Linked DNA regions of Neurospora crassa OR74A. The protein of the gene in region 1 interacts with the protein of each later gene in a biochemical or structural test. Links are inferred from orthologs where the notes say so. Each region holds a gene or a part of one and is shown on either strand. Other genes may lie near its edges.

The links.
Region 2: the proteins of arp-3 (region 1) and NCU02418 form a complex in vitro, tested with the Schizosaccharomyces pombe proteins (2 studies listed by BioGRID). The link is inferred for Neurospora crassa OR74A from reciprocal best matches to the Schizosaccharomyces pombe genes arp3 and dip1.

The regions. Positions count from the first base shown.
Region 1 is NC_026502.1:2,534,717-2,538,574, reverse strand, and holds arp-3 (actin), read right to left. Parts: upstream 2,549-3,858; 5' UTR 2,357-2,548; coding exon 2,322-2,356; intron 2,239-2,321; coding exon 2,216-2,238; intron 2,149-2,215; coding exon 1,921-2,148; intron 1,872-1,920; coding exon 1,825-1,871; intron 1,768-1,824; coding exon 1,681-1,767; intron 1,619-1,680; coding exon 785-1,618; intron 729-784; coding exon 663-728; 3' UTR 501-662; downstream 1-500. Other genes in the region: NCU01757 (asparaginase), read left to right, coding at 3,561-3,790, 3,845-3,858. UniProt on the Schizosaccharomyces pombe protein: Functions as ATP-binding component of the Arp2/3 complex which is involved in regulation of actin polymerization and together with an activating nucleation-promoting factor (NPF) mediates the formation of branched actin networks.
Region 2 is NC_026507.1:2,561,583-2,565,533, reverse strand, and holds the start of NCU02418 (hypothetical protein), read left to right. Parts: upstream 1-1,151; 5' UTR 1,152-1,369; coding exon 1,370-1,424; intron 1,425-1,499; coding exon 1,500-2,032; intron 2,033-2,094; coding exon 2,095-3,252; 3' UTR 3,253-3,951. Other genes in the region: NCU02417 (L-A virus GAG protein N-acetyltransferase), read left to right, coding at 1-11.

The DNA.
Region 1 (3,858 bases):
TATGGTACCGACCTCTATGAAGGCATGCAGAAAGTTGCATAACCTTTTGCTCCTTGCCCGGCGCAAAGTAAGCAATCTGATCACTGAACCCTCCAAACTGTGAATGCTCTCTGGGAACACGGTCGGTTTACTGTGAGGTGACGTCCGAGCATGTCAGGCAACATCTTTCAACATGACAATCGAGCCCAGTCCTGATTAGAATCTAATCAATGGGCTGAGAATAGGAACAACATTGAAAAAATGAAGAGAAAAATCAGCAAGTTGTGAAACTGATGCGAAGCTATCGGTTAGCTTGCCCGATGGGAGTTCGGCCAGTTCCAGAACTGTCGGGCCATATCAGGCCACCCGGCGCGAACCGGTGGTCGTGGTGCTGACACATCCTTGCTTACCGAGAGTTACAGTGAATGCCGTCAATGGCTTGGCACGCCGCCTCCGGAACCAGCCGATCGGTACCATTAAGCCCCCCTTTTAAGGGGACCGTTGCTCTGCGCAACGGATTCCTAAACATCAACACAACAACAGACACATTGGCCGTCTACGCTGACCCAACTTCACTAGCATTAAGTAGTTCCTCTTTTCTATTCATCGCCATTATATAAGCATCGGCGCCCGCTGCCTGCCAAATAAGATGCGGACTCGCTCCTGTACACAAATAACTACGCTTAAGATCCACCAGGTCCTCCGAGCAGAGCGAACCTGCGCACGATGCTGGGTCCATATTCTTGGTACTGTAAAGATCCGTCAGCAACCAGACTGCCAATGGTAAAAGGGTAAAGAAACATACCTCTGCCTTGGTGTGGCAGTACGACCGGAACTCGGGCGTCTGACCGAGCAAGCTACCACCAAACCACGGGCCGTGCCGTTGCCTTTTGTGGGTGATAACCTGGACATCAAGACCACCGCTCTTTGCTCCACCGCTGCGCACCTCGCTGGCCTTGATTCGCGTATCGACAAGCTGCTTGATATCGCGCTGTAGCCTGCGACCAAAGTCCTTGTAGAGCGTGCTGCCACCCGAAAGAACAATGTTCTTGTAGAGACCACGACGGACATCGATGGGCGAAGACTGAATGACACCATCAACAACCACGGGCAGGGGCGTAAGGAAATCGGACGAGTAAATCTCGGGGTTGAAGAAGATTTCGGGCGCCATGAAACGCTCGTAGCCAACATCAACCGTAACTTGGCGGCCACCGGGCTGGGTAATGGTGTGCTTCAGGAATCGGCTGCGATCGCGGTCGTACTTGGCAAACTCCTTGACAATATCCGGACAGACGTAGCAGTACTCCTCCTTGATCTCCTGGGCCGTCTTGAGGGACGAATCGGGCTCGCCGCGGTCACGGAGAAGCGACTGGACAAAGTAGGTGATATCGCGACCGGCAATAGGGATCGACTTGATGGACGAGCCGATAACGTAACCTTCGGCGACCGGGATAACGTGTGTCACACCATCACCCGAATCAATGACAGTACCGGTCAAGGATCTGTCCTGGACCTTGGATGATGTCCAGGAAGCCGCAAGGGCCAGAACGGCCTGGACGGCAATGTAGAGACCGGCGCAGTTGAAGGATTCGAAGAAGATCTCGGCGGTGTTTTCGCGGTTCTCGGGAGGGTTGAGAGGCTGAATCGACGTGTCAGTGCTGCAGACGTAGTACTGATGTGGCTTGGAAAGTGTAGTCTTACGGGCTCAGTGAGGAGGAAGTGGTGGTCCTCAGGCTCTACTCTCAGATACTTGAAGATGGAGTTGGACCAGAACCTTTCCATGTGATCCTAAGCTCCAGTTAGCTCTAGGCATTTGTGACATGCCATCTAGCAGCCTGAACGCACCCAGTTCTCGATCTGTCCGTGTCTGATGGGATAGTGCAACCCGTAGCCTAACACCGTCAGCACCCATTTCCGTTGAGGCGGTGTAGACCAACGTACCAGGTCCATTGGCGGCCGCTACGGCCTCGTCGCCGATAAAGTAGTCGAGGTCTTCGGTTCCGCGCTTTGCTGAGAGATGGCCACCTGGACCCGCGCCGCCGGTGAGGAAGGATGGCTTGTTGGCTACGGCGGGGCGGCCAGAGCCCGAGCCGCCGGTGCCTGCCGAGGGGCTTTTGGTCGCGATGGCCGTCGGGAATACGAACGAGGGGGAATCATTGCCGGCGAAACCTGCAGACGACGAAGAGCTTGGTCAATCGGTGGTCATTGGATATCTTGGGGTGTCGGAGTCGCGAACCTAGCTTGGAGAACCCCGTGCCGCTGGTTAGGGGATGTTAGCGATGACGGCCCCGGAGCTGTTAAGGAGCGGGCGGGGTGGAGACGGGACACTTGGATGCACGTACTTGTCCATGACAACGGCGGGGGTTGTGTTGGCCATTGTTGCGGTGGTGTGCTGCTACGCGCAGCTCGTGATGATTGCGGTTTGGTAAAGCAACGGCTGTTGTTAGTTGGTGATGGATGAAGTGACGGGGCGGGAGCGTGGATGGGTAGTGGATAGGCCAGGCGGGAAATGGAGGTTGATGTCCAAGATTGTACGTGCCTGGCCGAGCTAGCTCTCCTTACTCGTCTGGCTGACAGCGCTGCGTGGTACTGTGGAGGTACCTGTGCGGCTGTGCGCCAAGACCGCGAGGTCCCCGTATGGTACGGCGGTCCATTTAGTCAGTTGTGCATTTCCAGCGACGGGACCTACGCCATAACTGGAGATGACGGAACCAAACACCTCGCTGCCACCTGCGCGCCATCCGAGCCCCCCGAAACCTAACCGATGCCCCGGTCCCAAGCATCGGAGTTTGAAGCACACGGCCCGGGCCCGGACGATGATGGCTAGGAAAAAGTGGGGCCGATCGGTATCAAAACTGTAGCGACAAGGCCAGCCAGACAGGATGTGTCCTTCTAAGAAGGAAGGAGATACTGAATGGAAAATCACCTCCAGCCAGATTCCCTCACACCTGCCATTTCTGTCGGATTCATTTCAGCTTCATCCTCTCGAAGCAAGTCCACTTTGCGGAGAAGCTACACACACTCACAGCTTCTCACTTATCACAACGAATCATCAACCTGTCCAGTGTCCACATTCCGTTTCGTCTCTCTCTCCGTCTCTCTCTCTCTGTCGTATTCTGTATTTTGCCACCTTTGCCTTCACACATCTTCATCCCGCCCACCTACTGTATCCAAAGGGACTCTTCACCCCTCGGGCCACCCTGAGTGCATCATCTAGCTCATTGGGCATCGCTCCAATCTCAAATACCCCTCAAGACATTATCACTACCGAGCATTATTCCCATTCATTGTTTTAGCAGGTTGCTTTTACGAGGGACACCAAGTCCGACCACCCTTTTCATCTCATCCACCCGTTCCGATCTTCTCCAACTCTTCGCCCTTGCCTCGATAAGTCTTTTCGCCCATCTTTGTCCCAAGGCACAAAAGTCACCCATGACACACCAAAACTAAGGACTCTATGTGCCCTCAGAATACAGACTCGCTTGAAAGACACATGCTCGATTACCAGACAACTCGACCTCGCCAGATCACACGCTGCTTCGACTATCTCCTCGAGTCGTTCTATCACAGCTGCGCCCACGATGAGCAGCAAAAATGCCGAGCCCGGCCATGGGTCACCTGAATCAGATATGGACATGTCGGACAGCTCCTCAGAGTCAAACTGGTCTGGTGATCATGAATACGGATTGGACGGTGGTGTCGAAAGGATATGGAAGCGTACGACGAAGCCAGTTGCGGCAATCTTTGTCCACGCAGGTGCAGGGTACCATAGCATTACGAATGAAAAGGTTCACTTGGAAGCATGCAGCGAGTAAGTTGAGTCAAGAGTCATCAGGTGATCCCTTGCTGATGCGGTTGTAACTAGAGCCTCCCGTGTCG
Region 2 (3,951 bases), on another chromosome or scaffold:
CGCTTCGATGAATCTGCTAGTCAAAGACTGTCCGAGCCGTTGCTGGGAGCAGCAGTGCGCCGCCATCAAAACCCCTTTGGTGCCTGTCCTTCCCTTCACCATCGACGCACCACGGCTTGGGGGCCCAATGCTGGAGGCTTCGGGTGTAAGATGGACAGGATAACAAGGAATGTGGATCGTGGCTAGCGCCCTGAATATTCGTCTGGTTTCTATAACGGTACCTCATGACGGAAAGAAAGATGCCTGTCGAAGAATGTGATGATGATCAGGTCGAGGTATGGAGCCATAGCTTGAGCATATTGGCACCCCCACGGGTTCACCCCAAATGAGGGTTTTCACCTCTCCGCATGCTGCGTGGCCCGAACGTTGACAACCATGAATACTGAATAGCCGGTCTCATGGTATCTACCTGCCCACGAGGCCTGGGGCGTTAAGAGGTTTTTAGATGTAAGGTGACACTGCGGTGAAGTGTAAGGTTCGTGGGTTGTGGACCTTAAGCTCAGTCATGAGTTGAGATGTTGGCAGACACATATGTTATAGAGTCAAAGAAGACTTGCTTGAGGACGTTTCGGAGGCATGGACTGTTGATGTATTAGGACAACGGAATCAACTCGACCACTTGTCTGCCGGCCAAACTGGCCTAGTTCGTTGAATACATGATATTGAAGTGGTTAAAGCTTCAGTCGTGAACACTGCCGGCGTGGTGTACCAAGTTTAGATGGTAGAAGTATGGAATGATGGCCTACAGAAAGGCCCCACTTGCTCTTTTTGCAGGTTGGGGTCTAGGTATGTTACCAACCTACTTAGGCTCTGCTGCCGCCTGGGATTGCAATATACATACATGTGCCGTACGGTAGAGGTACATCGCTGCATTGCCTGCCGTACACCGTTTTGAGTGGCAGTCTTGCATCACAAGTACTTGGAGGGACGGTCTACCCACCTTCAGACGTGCGCAGGACCTGTGTAGGTACATATGTACTTGGCGATGGAAGGTGAGTGGCGTAGAGACCTCTCCACGTGTGCAGGTGGTATGTACTATCTAAGGTAGGTAAGGCAGCCCCCACAACCCCGATGTCACTACTGGGGGGACACTACAGCTTTAAGTACGGAACTCCCCACAGCCTTGCATGGACTGCACCCTAGAACTATACCGAGCAGGCCTCTCCCTAAATCCGCCGCATTTAACTGCCCGTTTTCTTCCCAAGTAACGACATCCTCCCGCGCAGCCTCGATAACCCAGTAGATCCAACGCGGCGGATCAGGTCGACAAAGGTACACATTGCCTATGCGAGCGATACCAGCACGCCGCCTTTCGTGATGCCCAGTTCATTGGTTGCGACGACAACATTGGTGCTGCTCGCTTGAGAACATGGCGGACCTCGAGGTCACTGAGCCTGTTGAGAACGAGCAGCAGTTTTGGCACGGTGAGCAAGCTTGCTAAATGGCCCTCCCCTTTTGTGGTGCGCTTGTTTCAATTGCTGAACAAAGACCTTTCGCAGCCCTGAACAGCATCCTTTCCGCCCCCTGCCCTACCCCCGAGTCCCTCGACGACGTTCTGCGATCATGGCTTGAACTGGTCGCGACCGGCCGGGACCGCTATCTCGACGATGAAGACGACATCGCGACATGTTCCCAACAGCTCCGACTTAGCAGCATCTTCAGACAGAACGCCGACTATGTCCGTACCCAGATCATATACAGCCTATTGCAGGAGGACGAGTACGGGCCGTTGCATGTCATTTCCAACTTCCTCCTGCTAGATGGCCGTGCCGAGGAAGAGACATTTCGGCGCATGGTCAACGAAGGATGTTTTTTGCGACTGCTCGAGCTCATCAAGAGTTGCGGCGCGCACGATGGCCGTCTTCACCGGCTACTTCTCGAGTTGATGTATGAGATGTCTCGCATCGAAAAGTTGCCGCATCAAGACTTGGCTCAGGTAGAGGACGAATTCGTCATTTACCTCTTCCAACTTATCGAGGCCTTCTCTGACGACGTGGATGATCCGTACCATTACGCCGTTATTCGTGTCCTGGTATGTTGTTGTGCCCCAAATCCGCTTTATGAACCTAACCACTAACGTTGGCCATGGGTAAGCTGGTCATGAACGAGCAATACATGGTTGCGTCAGCGTCCGGAGCTGTTGACCCAACTGCGCCTGTTACTCATATCACAAACCGAGTCGTCAAAGTCCTCAGCCTCCATGGCCCGTCTTTCCGAACTTTTGGCGAGAACATCATCTTGCTTCTAAATCGAGCAACCGAAACATCACTCCAGCTGATAATATTGAAGCTGCTCTATCTGCTATTCACCACCAAGGCGACTTATGAATACTTTTACACCAACGACTTGCGCGTCCTTCTTGACGTCATCATTCGTAATCTGCTCGACTTGCCAGTGGAAATGAATACCTTGAGACACACATATCTGCGCGTTCTCGCTCCGTTATTATCGCACACCCAGCTCAGCCAGCCGCCACATTACAAGCGCGATCAAATTCTTAGCTTGCTTGAAATACTTCGTGGCTCAGGAAGTGCGCACTTCCTACCGCCCGAGCCAACTACCCTCCGCTTGGTTGAGCGTGTCGCAAATATTCCATGGCTAGTGGACGATGAGGGCGTCTTGAGTTCTGTTCCCATGAAGAGCCTCACGCAAGCGCAAAACGGTAGTACCGTTAGCGTCATTGCAAACGTCCACGAGAAGCCAGGTATAGAAACACCAAGCAGAAAATCAAATCTCGCTCGTGAGCTCAGGCATGAACAGGAGGATGCGGAAGACGCCGTGAGGTCAATAATTGCCGTCGGTCCCGCGAGTGATACGCCAGAAACTACAACCTCAAATCTCTCGGTATCGAGTACCACCGAAGGGCACAAAGCAGCAGGCCGTCGAAAGCCGTCACCACCGCCGGCAAGACGGCTGAGGGCCCAGAAATCGCTTCCCATTGTTCCAAAGCATCGCCACGGTGTGCCGGTCTCCCCGCAACCACCACATACGCCAACAAGGATGATCGAGAATTCCACATTTGCCCAAGGTGACAAGCACGGGGTTGCTGCTGCTAGCAGCTCATCACCGACAGCGGCTTCGGCTGCGGAAGCCGTATCTGGTGATGGCAAGGTGAGTGGACCAGTGGCCAAAAAGCAGCCCCCCAAGCTCCCCCCTCCACGGCGCGGCAAACTCAGGGCTGTCAACAGTTTGTCGACATTACATCCGGTGACGGAGTCGCTACCCCAAACTGGGTCGACACCGGTAGCTTAGTCAGCGCCTTGTACGGTAACTGACAAGGATCTTAATTTGCGGGCCGGATTTACTGTGATGTCGAGCATTCTATCAAACACCAAGGTGGCTCGCCCCAGCAATGCGATTATTGCGAACATGACATTCTGTAGATACAGTCACAGGAAACGTGATAGAGCCCTGAATTGCCCTGGCATGAGGCACAAAAAAAAAAAGGGGGGGGGGGGGGGCGGGGAGGGGAGAGGACAAAAGGTTGCCCAAGTCACAAGTTTGGATCGGCTTGCAAGCCTTCGAGGGTTATTTCGACGAACACTATATGGGGTATCTTGTCAAACTCACCTCGGGTTAGCCGGCGGATCACTATTCCAGTTGTCACTCTTACTGGACGGCAGAGGTTTCGCTGGTTCCTAAAATGGCCAAGTGATATTAGGTAAGGCGTTGTATCAGAGGAGGTTGAGAGGAGGTTATGTTAGAAGGTGTTGGATAAGGGAATCTGAATGTTGTGTGTCATTTTCATCAGAGAGAAGCAAAGCGGGCAGCCATAGGCTCCGTATATCCTTTGTAGGATGAAATGTAACGGCTGCCGTAGCATTCTTACCACAACCAAGCGCTGTCCCCAGTAAGGTTGAGATTATACAAGCAATGCCTATTCAGGAAGACAAGGGCAGGGCAGCTTGGACTGAGTAGTAAACGAAGACCAAAGAGGAGTTGCAAAAAGGC